Linked DNA regions of Anolis sagrei. The main gene of each other region encodes a partner of the protein of the gene in region 2 in a complex. Links are inferred from orthologs where the notes say so. Each region holds a gene or a part of one and is shown on either strand. Other genes may lie near its edges. The genes, in order: DOK7 and MUSK.

Evidence for each region.
Region 1: the proteins of MUSK (region 2) and DOK7 are in contact, whole or in part, in a crystal structure (PDB 3ML4), measured with the Mus musculus proteins. The link is inferred for Anolis sagrei from reciprocal best matches to the Homo sapiens genes MUSK and DOK7. Residues at the interface, in NP_035074.2 of Mus musculus: Leu547, His548, Pro549, Asn550, Pro551, Met552, Tyr553, Gln554, Arg555; in NP_001335203.1 of Mus musculus: Leu154, Ser155, Asp156, Leu157, Arg158, Arg159, Tyr160, Gly161, Gly172, Thr173, Arg174, Ser193, Asp197, Val200, Arg201.

The regions. Positions count from the first base shown.
Region 1 is NC_090025.1:105,333,052-105,341,101, reverse strand, and holds the start of DOK7 (protein Dok-7), read right to left. Parts: upstream 4,451-8,050; 5' UTR 4,346-4,450; coding exon 4,289-4,345; intron 4,274-4,288; exon of another isoform or gene 4,175-4,273; coding exon 4,129-4,174; exon of another isoform or gene 4,094-4,128; intron 1-4,093. UniProt on the Homo sapiens protein: Probable muscle-intrinsic activator of MUSK that plays an essential role in neuromuscular synaptogenesis. Acts in aneural activation of MUSK and subsequent acetylcholine receptor (AchR) clustering in myotubes. Induces autophosphorylation of MUSK.
Region 2 is NC_090022.1:205,876,107-205,884,156, reverse strand, and holds the start of MUSK (muscle, skeletal receptor tyrosine-protein kinase), read left to right. Parts: upstream 1-3,439; 5' UTR 3,440-3,656; coding exon 3,657-3,735; intron 3,736-8,050.

The DNA.
Region 1 (8,050 bases), on a different chromosome or scaffold from region 2:
CTCCAAGTCTCCCCAATTTTAGTTATCACAGTAAGGGGTGTATGTTTTCATAGAAAGTTGGAAAGCAGAATTTGATGTGAAGTATTTTTCTCAGATATACAATATGAGACTTCATACCAAAGGACAGAGGACTGTAGCACTGTATAATAGAATATAACCTTGTTTTGTACTCGTCCCCCCCCCCCCGATGTATGTATTATTTCTGAACTGCTGAACTGTGTTGAACTATATGGATCAGTGTTGATGTGACAAATGTTACATATGATTTCAAGGAGTGTGACCACATGCTGACATAGCTAAGAACCCTAGAAAACACCCAGGTCTTGATTGGCAGCCAAAAGGACCCAGCACTTTCAAAGAGAGGAAGGAAGAGACTGAGATTGTATGAGGTAAAAAGGATACCCACCACTCATCACAGAGACAGAAATTAGCTGCCAAATTACAAGGGAGAAGGAGAGGAAACAATCTTTACCATGCTAGCGAGGGCAAAAATAAGAGACATTTGCTGTTTAAATACAGGGACAAATGGAGATTATCACGTATCCTAACAGAACAAATTTAAAAATCAACAGGTTAAAGCAGAATCAGCCAGGGCTTCTTAAAGCGTTTTCCACTTGTGACCCCTTTCTGCTCAAATAATTTTACCCTAGGGTATATAGGTATATAAATAGGTTAAAAATCAAACATTTACTGGTAATAAATCAGTATTTGAAAGGCTTGCTAAACAGGCTGATTTTCCCCTTTTACAAAGTAGAGCTGAAGTATCTTCTGCAGTCCACTGCAACTACTGCATATTGTTGTTAGCAGATTTGTGTAAATATCTAAAACACTAGGCAGCATTCAGAAACCATTTACTGTTGCCAGTGTTGTTGTGATCCCCATTTAAGGTCAGGACACACAGTTTAAGATGTGGTGAACTAGATCACTATGTTTTAAACCGTGGGCCCTGGCCACAAATGGGATCCCCTTGGATCAGTGTAGGTACCCCCCCCCCCCCCCCCCAAAAAAAAATAAATTGGCAACAGGAAAAGTTTTCTGAAGGTCACTTAGTAGCTGTTGCAGACATTTACATGAATCTGTTGTGCTGTGTTTACAGTGGACTCTGCAGAAAGTGTTTCTGCTGTGCTTCAAATGGCCCTTCCACAAGCCATAAAACCCAGAATATCAAGGTAGATAATCCACAATATCTACTTTGAACTGGGTTATCTGAGTCCATGCTGCTATATAATCCAGTTCCATGTGGATTTTATACAGCTGTATGGATCATTTATACAGCTGTGTGGGTCATAAAGAGGAAAACCAGCCTGTTTAGCAAGCCTTACATATGCTGATCAGTTATCTGTAAATAACAGATTTTTTCATACCTATTTTACCAATACATAGACAGTCTCCAAGTTACAAACAAGATAGGTTCTGTAGGTTTGGTCGTAAATTGAATTTGTATGTAAGTCAGCACAGGTACATTTTTAAAGTGTAACTCCAGCCATTCATACACACATACACATATGCACTTTAGATATCATAGGGAAAGGTTAACACCCCTGTGTTGTTGCTCTAGCTATCTGTGGGCCCTTCCAGACAGGCCCTATATCTCAGGATCTCATCCCAGGTTATCTGATTTAAACAGGATTATATGAGCCCCTCTGCAATATAAAGTGAGGGCCTTCCACAAAGCCCTATATCCCAGAATATCAAGGCAGAAAATCTCACATTATCTGAGTGTGGACTCAGGTAACCCAGTTCAAAGCAGATAATGTGGGGTTTTCTGCCTTGATATTCTGGGATATAGGGCTGTGTGGAAGGGTCCTGGGATAAACAGAAAACCTGGGATCAGATCCTGAGATATAGGACCTGTCTGAAAGGGCCTTGTGCTTCTGTTCAGAAGATTTCACCTCACTTTCTTTCCCCTTGATAATTAGAAAAATGTGGCTTGTGGAAACAATATTTGGTGAGAAAGCTTTGGTAGAGACACCTTTTCCCCATGATAACTCATTCAGGAGCGAATTTCCATTCCTAAAGAGAGATTTCTTTCATTTCCTGTTGTCTCAGCCCTTCGGAGTTGGGAGTGCTTGTAGACTACTGGTTCCTAACCTGTGGTCTGTGGACCACCAGTGGTCTGCAAGAACAAAAATATGGTCTGCAGCTTCACCATTACTACATCGTTGCCTCGGAACAACACAGGAACTAGAGCAACTGGTCTCGTGGAACCTTCTTGTAGTGCCGAGGCAAAGGGGATGTCAGGAAGGGAGTGGCTGACTACTCATGAAAGATTTCTGCTACCACACCAGTTCTAGATTATTGAATATGGTTTTCTGTGGGTGAGCAGATGGCATATATTCTGCATCAGAAACTAGAGCTGGTGTGGTCTATCCAATGCAATTTTCTGAATCAGCACCCCAAATAACAAAACTGAATCTAGTTAAAGAAAAACTGATTCGTAACCCTTTTGGCAGTAATGTTGGAGAATAGTCCCTGGTCAAAAAAGGGTTGGGTCTACTACTGTAGACCTATACAAATGTAAACTTGTCCTGTGCCAAAAGAGGTTGTGGGTGGAAAATGTTAAAGTTCTGAAGGTCCTTCCACACAGACATATAACCCAGGGCAAAGCAAATAATGTGGGATTTTATTCAGCTGTGTGGAATGGTTAGACCTAGCTGCAAGAGGTAGAAAGGCCCAATTGAGGACCCTTCCACATGGCCATATAACCCATGGCCCTTCAACGCAGTCCTATATCCCAGAATATAATGACAGAAAATCCCACAATATCTTCTTTGAATTGGGTTATCTGAGTCTAGTCATGTTTCTCAACCTGGGGGTTGAGACCCCGGGGGGGGGGGGGGGGTTGCAAGGAGGTGTCAGAGGGGTCACCAAAGACCATCAGAAAACACAATATTAGTCATGGGGGTTCTGTGTGGTAAGTTTGACCCAATTCTATCACTGGTGGTGGGGTTCAGGATGTGCTTTGAGTGTAGGAGAACTATAAATCCCAGTAACTACAACTCCCAAATGTCAAGGTCTATTTTCCCCAAACACCACCAGTATTCACATTTGGGCATGTTGAGGATTCATACCAAGTTTGGTCCAGATCCATCATTGTTTGTGTCCACAGTGCTCTCTGGATGTAGATGAACTATAACTCCAAAACACAAGGTCAATGCCTACCAAACCCTTCCAGTATTTTCTTTTGGTCAGGGGAGTTCTGTGTGCCAAGTCTGGTTCAATACAATCGTTGGTGGAGTTCAGAATGCCCTTCAATTGTAGGTGAATTATAAATTCCAGCAACTACAACTCCCAAATGACAAAATCAATCCTCCCCAACCCCACAAATATTCAGATTTGGACGTATCGGGTATTTGTGCCAAATTTGGTTCAGGGAATGAAAATACATCCTGCATACCAGATTTTTACATTATGATTCATAACAGTAGCAAAACTGCAGTTATGAAGTAGCAATGAAAATAATTTTATGGTTGGGGGCCACCACAACACCAGGAACTGTATTAAGGGGTCGTGGTATTAAGAAGGTTGAGAAACACTGGTCTAGTCAGATAATGTGGAATTTTCTGCCTTGATATTCTGGGATATAGGGCTGTGTGGAAGGGCCCCCAGAATATCAAGGCAGAAAATCCACAATATCTGCTTTGAACTGGATTATCTGAGTCCACACTGCCATATAACCCAGTTCAAAGGGAATAGTGTACAGCTGTGTGGAAGGGCCCTCAGAAGCACTTGCTTGGCCTCTAAACCCAAGACTTGAGCATCCGGGACCCGTGCGTCCCAATGCTGCTTCTGCCCCAAGCAGAGCCGGTGGGCCCCTCCTCCTTCCCCAATAGCAGCGCGGCCCCTCCCCTCCCCTCCACCCTTCAATGCCCTCCTTCTAAATTTAGCCCTGATTCCCCGCCTGCGGGCCAGGCTCATAAAACTGAAGAGGGGGCGAGAAACCGGCGCGAGACCGGCAAGGGCAAGGCAAGGGCTGGGGAAGGGTCTCCTCCCTCAGCTTTCCTCGTGACCCGGAGGAAGGCTGAGGGAGGCGCTCCTTTCCCCACAGAGGCGCCAGGGGCCTATCTGCCTCCTCCAAGAGAACCCCCCCCCTTCCTTCCTCGCTTTCCCCTCACGCGCCGGACTCACCAGCGACCGGCGAAGGCTTGCGCAGCACCGCCCACCGCGTCTTCCACTGTGGAGAAAGAGAGAGAGAGAGGCATTGGAGGGGGTAAAGGGAAAGTGAGGGAGGGAGAGAGGGAGAAAAGACCCTCCTGCCCCGTCCCCGGGAAAGGTGGGTGCCGCGGACCTTTTTTCCATCTCTCCACTTGAGCTGGCCCTCCACCACTACCGCGGAATCCGTCATCTTCAGTCATGATTTCCGACAGCTGCGGCTGGCGCGGCGGCGGCAGGGTCACTTTCAAAATAACTTTATTGGGTCACTGCTGGCCGAGTGGGCGTGGCCCCGAGGAGTAGGGGGCGGGGCCAGACCCCTCCCTTCCCTTGCAGGACCCTGAGCGCTCAGTCCTGCCTGAAAGGTGGCCGCGGCTGTTCCCTTCCTCTTCTTGTCTCTCACTCTGGGCCGGGTGGAGGCTTCTTTCTAGAGCAGTGTTTCTCAACCTGGAGGTCGGGACCCCTGAGGGGGTCACCAGTGGGTTTCAGAGGGGTCACCAAAGTCCATCAGAAAACACATACTTCTGATGGTCATAGGAACCCTTTTGTTAGAGAAGGCTAAAGATCTCTCCGTCTGTCCTTCTCTTCCTTTTTGGTGTTGGTGAACTACAGCTCCCAGAATTCAAAAATAGCCTCCCCAACCCAGGCATGTGGCCGGGGGCTTCAGCCTCCCCCCCCCCCCCCGAAATTCTCATGGTGGTTCGCGAAAAGGCCTTACTGGTGCATTATGTTATGTTTATTCATATCATGATCTGATCACCATACTCCATCTGAAGATTCCATCTGAACACAAGGAAGAACTTCCTAACTGTGAGAGCCGTTCAGCAGTGGAACTCTCTGCCCCGGAGTGTGGTGGAGGCTCCTTCTTTGGAAGCTTTTAAACAGAGGCTGGATGGCCATCTGTCAGGGGTGCTTTGAATGCAACATTCCTGCTTCTTGGCAGGGGGTTGGACTGGATGGCCCATGAGGTCTCTTCCAACTCTTTGATTCTATGATTCTATGATACTCAATATATCCCATATGCATGGAGGTATTGGGGTAATGATACAAAATGTTTGCTAGGGTAGACCCTCTTTCACTCAGACTTAGCCCCCCCCCCCCCCCCAATCAAAATCCTGACTACGGGCCTGCCCAGTGGCTGTCAAGCAGCAGATACTGTGAATTTTGGAACTGGTTTGAGGCCACCTTCCATTATAATGTGATTACCTTCCTGGCCTCAAACCTCCTCCAAATATGTCTAACCATCTGCACTGCAAAACTAATTTTTCCCAAACTGGTTCCAAATCAACCCAAATGGTCAGTGAAGATGTGCCCTTTCCTGGCTACGGGCCTGCCCTAACCCCACCAGCAGGCCCGTAGCCAGGATTTCGTTTCGGGGGGGGGGGGGCTGAATTTTTTTCAGGGGGGGTTTTGGGGGGGCTGAGTTTTGGGGGAGCTGAGTCTGAGTGAAAGAGGGTCTAGCCTAGCAAACCTTTTGTATCATTACCCCAATACCCCCATGCATATGGGATATATTGAGTATGGTGATCAGATCATGATATGAATAAACATAATAGTTTAAATAATGCACCAATAAGGCCTTTTCGCGAACCACCATGAAAATTTCGGGGGGGGGGTGAAGCCCCCCGAGCCCCCCCCCCCCTGGCTACATGCCTGCCCACCAGTATTCAATGCTGGCCATGTAGGTAGTGTGCTAAGTTTGGTGCAGATCCATTGTGGGCTGGGTTCAGAGTGCTCTTTGATTGTAGGTGAACTATAAATCCCAGCGAGTACAACTCCCAAATGTCAAGGTCTCTATTCCCCAAACTCCACCAGTGTTCTGATTTGGGAATATTGAGTATTCATGCCAAATTTGGTCCAGTTCCATCACTGTTTGTGTCCACAGTGCACTCTGGATGTAAATGAACTACAACTCCAAAACTCAAGGTCAATGCCCACCAAACCCTTCCAGTATTTTCTGTTGGTCGTGGAAGTTCAGTGTGCCAAGATTGGTTTAATTCCATCACTGGTGAAGTTCAGAATGCTTTTTGATTGTAGGTGAACTATAAATTCCAGCAACTACAACTCCCAAATGACAAAATCAATCCCCCCCCCCCAACCCCACTAGGATTCAAATGTGGGCGTATCGGGTATTTGTTCCAGATTTGGTCCAGTGAATGAAAATTCATCCCGCATATTGGATATTTACATTATGATTCATAACGGTAGTGAAACGACAGTTACGAAGTGTTGTTGTTGTTCATTCGTTCAGTCGTCTCCGACTCTTCGTGACCTCATGGACCAGCCCACGCCAGAGCTCCCTGTCGGCCGTCACCACCCCCAGCTCCCTCAAGGTCAGTCCAGTCACTTCAAGGATGCCATCCATCCATCTTGCCCTTGGTCGGCCCCTCTTCCTTTTTCCTTCCACTTTCCCCACCATAATTGTCTTCTCTAGGCTTTCCTGTCTCCTCATGATGTGGCCAAAGTATTTCAATTTTGTCTCTAGTATCTTTCCCTCCAGTGAGCAGTCTGGCTTTATTTCCTGGAGGATGGACTGGTTGGATCTTCTCGCAGTCCAAGGCACTCTCAGAACTTTCCTCCAGCACCAAAGTTACGAAGTAGCAACGAAAATAAAGTTATAATTGGGGGTCACCACAACATGAGGAAGTGTATTGAGGGGCCGCAGTATTAGGAAAGTTGAGAAACCCGGTTCTAGAGCCTAGCTGTCGTCTTGCTCACACCTCTTTCAATTTTCCTAGTTTCCAACAGACCTCACAACCTCTGAGGATGCCTGCCATAGATTCAGGTGTAACGTCAGGAGAGAATGCTTCTAGAACAGTAGTTCTCAACATGTGGGTCCCCAGATGTTTTGGCCTTCAACTCCCAGAAATCCTAGCAGCTGGTAAACTGGCTGAAATTCCTGGGAGTTGTAGGCCAAAACACCTGGGGACCCACAGGTTGAGAAGCACTGTTCTAGAACATGGCCATACTGTCCGAAAAACCGACAACAACCCTCTGCCTTTTTGTTCTGACAAGGGGAGAGTTAGGGTCCTTCCATATAACCCAGGCCCCTTCCACACAGCTGAATAAAATCCCACATTATCTGCTTTGAACTGCACCTGTAATTTGGGAAGTCTGATCTGGCCACAGCGGCCCACTCTCTTGTCACATCCCAAATAGATTACTGCAACTCGCTCTACGTGGGGTTGCCTTTGAAGACTGTTCAGAAACTTCAGTTAGTCCAACGGGTGGCAGCTAGATTACTTACTGGAGCGTCATACAGGGAGCATACCACCCTCCTATTATGTCAGCTCCACTGGTTGCCGATCCAATTTTGAGCACAATTCAAAGTGCTGGTTTTGACTTATAAAACCCTATACGGCTCAGGTCCAGTGTACCTGTCCGAACGTATCTCCTTCGTCCCACCTCAGAGTTTAAGATCTTCTGGGGAGGCCTTGCTCTCAGCCCCGCCTCTGTCTCAAATACGCTTGGTGGGGACAAGGGACAGGGCCTTCTCAATGGTGGACCCCTGCCTGTGGAATTCACTCCCCAGGAAAATTAGGTCATCTTCATCCCTCTTCACCTTTAGAAAGAAGTTAAAAACGTGGATGTGGGACCAGGCTTTCGGGTAATTAGGCGGACAATGACAATGTTGACAATGGCTTGGAAATGGACTATGGATAAGTTTGATGAAGTATCCAATCACAGAATTTGGCTAAATAACGACCACCAGACTGGTAATTCTTAGTAGATGTTAATTGTATTGTCTTAATGTTTTTAACTATTTATAATTATTGATTGTTATGTATTTTATTATGTATATATAGAGGCATTGAATTGTTGCCAACTAGAAGCTGCCCTGAGTCCCCCTCCCCCCCCTGAGTCTCCCCCCCCCCCCCCCAGGGGATTGAGAAGGGCA
Region 2 (8,050 bases):
ACAGTCTGCATCTGCAGTAATCTTTGCACCTAGAAATACAAAGTCTGTCACGGCCTCCACGGTTTCTCCCTCTATTTTCCAGTTGTCAATCATTCTTGTTGCCATAATCTTGGTTTTTTTGACGTTTAGCTGCAATCCGGCTTTTGCGCTTTTCACCTTCTTTCTGCCCTTAATACAGAAGCACAAATAACAGGTAGAAGTTAGAGCCTGTTTCATTTTTTTAGGTATTATGGATTCACCAAAATTTTGCTTTGTATAAAAGCACTCAAGCCCTCAACTTTGTCCTCAGCGTTTGTCACCAGGGGGAACCAAATTCCTTCCTTCTCTCTGTTGAAATTCTAGAACTGCTTGAAATAATCTTACATGAGGTTTCCTAGAAAGCATTTCAGAGAACAAAATCCCTAAATATCTGTAAGTATTAATTTATTCTATGACATTTCTATATGCTATTTGTTTATCTGATTTCCATATACAGTATGTCTCAATGGCTTGGGGGTTAAACCCATAATAACTTTATATTTTGTAAATAATTTTCCTTTCTTACAGATTTTTATACTGTTAAAACCTGCATTAACACGTACTAGAAAATCATTAAAATATAATTTTCTTCTGCCCACTATTTCAATTTTAAGGGCAGAAAATGACTATACAGTTAGACAATGGCCTAAATCCAGCTATTACTCACTGATAGAATAGGGTCATTAAATAACCAGGAATTTGTTAAGTTAATGCTTACATAAAGTCCATTGATTTAATGAATTTGTTTTAGTTGGGACTAACAGCTGCATTTGAGACATTATCCGAAAAGCGAATTAGTTTCTTAGTGGGCTACAAAGAGTTCCCTTCAAAAAAGGAGCATGACCACACATCTAAGCAGTTTTCAGGACAGTATCATCCCAATTTGCAGAGATTTTAGGGCCAAAGAAAAAGATTGGGATGCTTCCTTGTCAAGTCAAAAGGGGTATATATGTGTGATGCCACCTTAGTGGCCTCTTGTGTAAAGGTTATGAAATTGAGTGTGAAAGACAATGTGAGTTTTCTGAACAAATATCCGCCTCAATCCAACATTCCCTTAGCATAAAATAAATATAAGCACCACACAATGCACATACAGAATAGTAACATTGTGCAGCACATGTTGGCAAGGTGTCATTGTGAAAAGCACGATACATTTTGCACAACTGCATTGCAAAATATAAATTAAGCAATTGCCATGCAAAATCTTCATGCAAAATATAGCATGCACAACAACAGAAGGTATGCAACTGCAAGGATGCGGCAGAGATGAACATGTTGGCACAATTATGCATCCACTGCTATGAGCAAAACAAATCCATTGCACAATGGTGACATGTTGGCTCTATGTGAGTAGCATACCTATACGAGGGACAGGGCCTTCTCGATGGTGGCCCCTCGACTTTGGAACTCCCTGCCATTAGAGATCAGAACTGCCCCCTCCCTCATGACGTTCAGGAAACTAACAAAGACCTGGTTGTGGAACGCGGCATTTGACAACTGATTTAATTCTTTGCCCACATGAAAGGAGGATGATGAATGGGATTGTGATGGTGTTGGACGATTTGGCTCTTTTAACTGTGATGATAATGTTTTAATGTGTATGGTGCTGATATTTTAATCGTGTAATGAAGTGGCATTGTGTTGTTATTGTATATTCTTTGTATGTTAACACATGTTGTGAACCGGTCCGAATCCCTCTTTGAAGGTGAGAGGGTCGGTATATAAAACCTCGAAATAAATAATAAATAATAAATATATCCCTACCACAATTCCAACCATTGGGTGCATCAAAAATATTAAAATATTTTAAAATGGTCAAAATGTACCTTTTCGGTGTCAGGAAACCCTGATGAGAAGTATCCTGAAATGATAAGCATCTTCACTGATATGGACCCTTAAGGTAACTCTGTCATAGATCTGAGAGTGTATAACTCACCTAAGGCCATCCAGTGGGTTTCCATGGTCAAGCAAAGAATTGAATCCTGGTCCCCAGAATCATAGTCCAACTCTCAGGCCATTACACAAAACTTACTTTCTTATCTACACAAAATTCATATGTGGTCAATTTGCAGAGAAAACAGCACTTGAAGGACAGGAAACCTATTACAGAAGGGTGAAACTTCACACATATTCACCCTGTTCATCCTCTCATGCCTCTGTAAAGGCAGGTGAAGCGGGACACTTCACCTGGACTTTTGTGATAAGGTCGTAAGAAAGAAAAAAGTTATCAATGATAACTAGATGAAATCTTTGTGTTCTTGATAAGGGATCAGGCGATACTTTAGATGTTGCTGAGTGGGAAGACTGAAGATCGTTCACCAATGGCTATCATGGCTGGAGTTGGTGGAAAATGTGGCCAAACAACTTCTTGAAGTTCATACCTTCCCCATCTCTAGATTCTAGGGATAAATAATAATGGAGAGCTGTGGGTTTAGTATCAGTGGTGGTGCATGTGGAAAATCAATATGTGGAAAATCATCTCCTATTTCTAAATCCTGGAGATAAACAATAGTAGTGAATTGTTGGTTTAGTGCCAATGCTGGTGGATGTGCTATGCTAATTCCTTGAAACTAGGATTGGGAGATGAAAGCATCTCTATTAAAAGGAAATGGTAAAGGTTTTCCCCTGGCATTAAGTCCAGTCATGCCCGACTCTGGAGGGTGATGCTCATATCAATTTCTAAGCCAAAGAGCCGGGGTTGTCCGTAGACCGCTCCAAGGTCATGTGGCCGGCATGACTGCATGGAGCGTCGTTACCCTCCTGCTGGAGTGATATCTATTGATATACTCATATTTGCATGTTTTCGAACTGCTAGGTTGGCAGAAGCTGGGGCTAACAGTGGTAGCTCACAACGCTCCCCGAATTCGAACCTGCATCTCTATTAGGACATCTCAAAAATACCTTTGCCCATGGCCATGGCCAACTACTGAAAGAAAAGCATTGGGAATCAATCAGAATTAGCAATACTGGGACTGATGAATAAGCTGTGTGCTGCTTCATATCTACATAGGAAGGCTTTTGCCTTCTTGGGTACTTCCCATGATGCTAGATTAAATTAGGAGTGGAAACTGTACTCCTCTAAACATTGCAGGGTTACAGCTACCATCAACCCTAGTTAACAAAGCAAGTAGTGGGGAATGATGGAAACTAAACTTCAGCACCATTTGGAAGGCCACACAATTTCTTTGCCTAATTAAATAGACCTTTGGTCTAATCTAGCGCATGAGGAGTTTCGTAAAACATGCAGCACTAAAGAAAAACTCTGAGCATTTTTCACCCTTGGCTGAGATGGCAGCCTAACAGCTTCTGTTGGCCTGTGCCATGCTATTATTTTAGAAAGGCATTGAGGCATTGTGCTGCTCAACTGTTTGCTTAAAAGGAATTCTGAAGGGATTTGCGTTCTCTTGTTTCATGAGCCCTCACATGTTGATACTGCCCGAAGTGGAAGCACACCAGCTGGCTGTGTCCATCACAGCTACCAAGTCTGAGAATTCCTGATTATACTTAGAACCCACAGAGTCAGTGGCGGAGAGGAACGTTGCAATGAACCATGCTTTCAAATTGAGCAGCCGCGAAGGAATATGCCTGTCTTTGACTAAAGAAGACGGATCCCATTTTCCCCCTTCCTTGGATTAACCATGAAAGACTCGCTCAACATTCCACTTGTACATATCTTTACTCTGGCGGCCTTCAGCTTGGCTGAAAGACTCCCAAAAGGTTGGTGTGAATAATGAACATCTTCTTAGCTTTGCCACTCATAACATATTTTCTCTATAACCTGGGGCAAGCCAGGCAAGTGGGATAAATATATAAGCCACGTAGATCTGTATGAATGAGCTCATTTCCCCCATGCAGTTGCATCTGTGACTGCCTTTGAAAGGAAAGTATGGAAGAACCATCCCCTTTTCAGATTTACAAATCTCCATTGGAAAGCAGTGCTCTGCTGTGTTTGTGTGGTAAGACTGTTTATCTTAAGTACCAAGTCAAGCACAAGTGATAAGACTGAAACTGTTTTCATGAATTCATAGTTGAATGTATTTTAGCATGGATGGTTAACTGGGAATAAATCTCACTGGACATCATAGGACCTCCAAGTAAATATAGTTTTGAGAAAGCTGCATGAAATAAGTGTTTAAAGTTATTCTAGATAGATAGAAGGATGCAGGCAAACTTTGATATTTTTTAGTTCCTGTGCAAGCTATATATATAGGGGGGGGGGGGGAATTAATGGGAAAATGAGAACTTTTGGTGAAATGTTATGGAGATTTATTCAGAAGCAGATCCCACTATGTCAATACAGCTTATTCTCGGATACATGTGCATAGGGGCACTGCTTTCCAATATAAATCTATATGTAGTCTCAAAAGTAAATTCCATTGATTTCACTGAGATTTTCTTCCAGGTAAATTAGTACAGCATCCTCAGTGATTTCAAAATGCTTTGATGCCATTTCAACTCTGAAAACAGTTCGAAATACATTTGAGAGAAAGTACAAGTGTTTATTTTGAGACAAAATACATCAGTATGTATTTTACTTGGGAATGTTCATGTGGAAAAGTTAGATAATAATACTGAAATGGATCAGAGGTTATCAATAAGCAAATACACACAAGAGGAAATGCAGTTTCATTTATCCTTATATAGTTATTTCCATGTATCTATATATGATTATACAGATACAATTGTTTATTACAGTTTTGTGAAAAATTAAAGACATAGTCCTGTTAACTCCAATGAGATCTGTACTAATATTATAAATCTATGCATACATAATATTATAATGATATTTATTTTTCTTAGATACAGTAATGAATCTTCAATTTAAGCATATCTAAATATATCTGTATAGGATAATATCCAACTTGAGCCAAGCATTTTTAGATGATTATTAATTCTAGAGGCAAAGTTATACATTTTGGGGAGCTCTTTGAATTTTCCTCCGACATTGCTTTTCAAAAATACAAGGGCACCCTTGAGAGGCTGAAATTGGAGGTAGAGAACAAGCAGGTGGAAACAGAACCATTTATCCACCTAGCTACTGGGCGCATTGTTCACAGAAAAGAAATATGGAGGTCTAGCATAACTTGGAAAGGAGACAGAGAAGCACAATTCTGAGTCAATATACAGTATGATCCCCATATCTTCGAAACTGAGGATTCCTTTACCGTAGAGTCTCACTTATCCAACCTTCGCTCATCCAACATTCTGTATTATCCAACGCAGTCTGCCTCCCGCCTGGATCCACAGGTGTTTCAGTACATTGTGATATTTTGATGTTAAATTTGTAAATACGGTAATTACTACATAACCTTACTGTGTATTGAACTGCTTTTCTGTCGATTTGTTGTAAAACATGTTTTGGTGCTTAATTTGTAAAATCATAATATAATTTGACGTTTAATAGGCTTTTCCTTAATCTCTCCTTATTATCCAACATTTTCACTTATCCAACTTTCTGCTGGCCCGTTTATGCTGGATAAGCGAGACTCTACTGTATATTTATGCAACCAAATATGTTTTCTTGAGGCATTTTCTAGGTCCTCCACTGCAACATGAGTGTATTCTTGGGCCAGGAATTGTTTATTTCAATAAGATTTGATAATACCTGCTATTTCATATATCCATGTCTGGGAACATATTCCTAGTGGATATAGGCGTTGTACTGTATCCCAGAAATGGAAATCCTAAGCAGTCCCTCCCCCAGGTTTTTTTCCTGTTTAACTAAAGGCACTCTCCTGTTTGTTTTTCATTTTAAAAGTCTTCCCTACACCATGAGATATGCAACTCCATTTCTTGTGAATTTCGCCGCTAGGGCCATTGGTTCTCCCAACAGCATTTTATCAGTTGAGATTAATATTTATAAATGACTTTTCATGTGAAAAAATGTGGTGGAATGAAGATTTGGAAAAATGTTCCAACTGAGTGTTTGCATGAAGTTCATTAACATATTGGCATCAAGATTATGTAAACAGTTCAAACCAACAGTGCTGTCAACAGCTTGATAAATGAGCTGGAAGCAAAATTTTAGCCTTCAGTTAGTTTCCAGGTCCATAAAAAGCTGATCCGTAACGTTCTTTGTTGTATATATGCACAACGTAATGATGAAAATGAAATGAATAGCATTCATCTTATTTTTTTGGCAACTTTGCATAGAGGATTTGTTATCCTGCAAAGAAATATTTATCCTCAAACTGGATTTGTTCACTGTACAAATAAAAGATTATCAGGTACATATTAATTGCTGGGTGTTACACAAGGTTGTTTAGACACAACTAATTGAAAAAAAGACAGTGTTGTATACTTCTTTTAAATATATTTGGCTTAGCAATAGTTATGAGATTCAGAACTTGAGTAAGAGGACACTTGTTTCCAAATGTCCCACTTCCTACCACCTACATGAAATATTTAAAATGGAAACAAATTTGACTAGCGATGGGTGACACTCATATATCTTCCCTAATGCAGAAGTGTAAATCAAGATGATCTTCCCTGAAAGGAATACTTTGGAAAATAGCTCCATTAATTCTGAGTAGTACATTTCAAAACCACCTTGAAGACCATCTCATTTATGATGATATCTACAGGAATATAGCAGGGTCAAAACCTCTTATTCTGAAATATCTAAGAATCTCATAAAAACTTTCCTGGCTGCTGCTGTTATAAGATTCATAACAGGTACCAATATTTTGATGGCAATAGTATCAGAGAAGGAAGTCTCTCTTATCCTCCTCACTCTTTTTTAGTAGCGGCCAATGCAGAGAGGGATCCAGAAGATATACATGAATTTTGCCCTTCCATCACATGAGCAAGTGATGGGAAAAATAGATGCAGTGATACATGGAAAGGTTTTCTAGCTTGGGTTGCAATGGAATGGCACAGTTTGGAACACTGGTGTGCATTCTGAATAAGCTATGTTTACACTCTGAACTGGATCATCAGCATTTGTGAAGTTTGCCAATAGTATTAGTCGAGAAAAGAAAAACCTACAGCAAAGCCCCGATGTGTTTACCTGCCTATTTTACCACTGCAATCACATTAATTTTTTCTCCTTTTAAGCTTTGGAGTAAGCTTTGGACTGTTCCTAAGAATAAGAATAAGAATAAAAATAACAATAAGAAGAAGAATGCTTTATTTATATCCTGTTTCCTCCCCAAAGGGACTCGAAGCTGCTTACAACAAATAGAAACAAATTATAATAAATGCATACATTGTCAAAAATAACTCAACAGTAATAAAATAAGCAAAGCAAACACAAACCATAGTACATATAACTAAAAAAATGGCAACTAATTTCAAACAGTTTAAAACATCTCAGTACTTACTTTAGTTTGTAAAACAATAGGATTTAGTTAGAGTTTGATCCCTTAAGACCTCAATCAAGTATATTACACATTGGCCATTGTTGAAAGCCTGTTTCCAGAGCCATGTCTTGAAAATTGCCAGTGTGGCAGGCAGTCTGGCCTCCCAGGGGAGAGCGTTCCAGAGCTGTGGGGCCACAACCAAGAAGGCCCTTTTCCTAGTCCCCACCAACTGTGCTTATGATGGAGATGGAACCATGAGAAGGGTCTCCCCAGCAGATCTCAAGGTCCAAAGGGTTTCATAGGGGGAGATGTGATTGCACAGATAGGCTGAACCCGAATCATGTAGGGTTTTATAGGCGATAACCTGCAACACTTTGTAACACCCAGTCCCCAGCCTTTCAACAGTGCAGCATTAATGGGATCTTGCCAGTTCCAGCAAGAAGCGACAGAGATCTAAACCTATATGGAGAGTAGAAGTCTTATAGCATTTTGCAGCTGTGAAACTATGTATTCAGCTAACATTGAATCAGCAACTAGATCCAGTTCTTAAGCTTCTGGTTGCCCACCCTTATTTAGATCTTCTCTATTATTTCATTTCCTTTCATAAACCTTGACAGAAACTCATATGTTTTGTTATTTTTCAGTGAGCAGGGAAATAGTTTAGCATTTCCTTAAGTTCAGGAGAATCCACTGAGGATTTTTTTTGTAGCATTCTCTGTGATTTTCTGTAG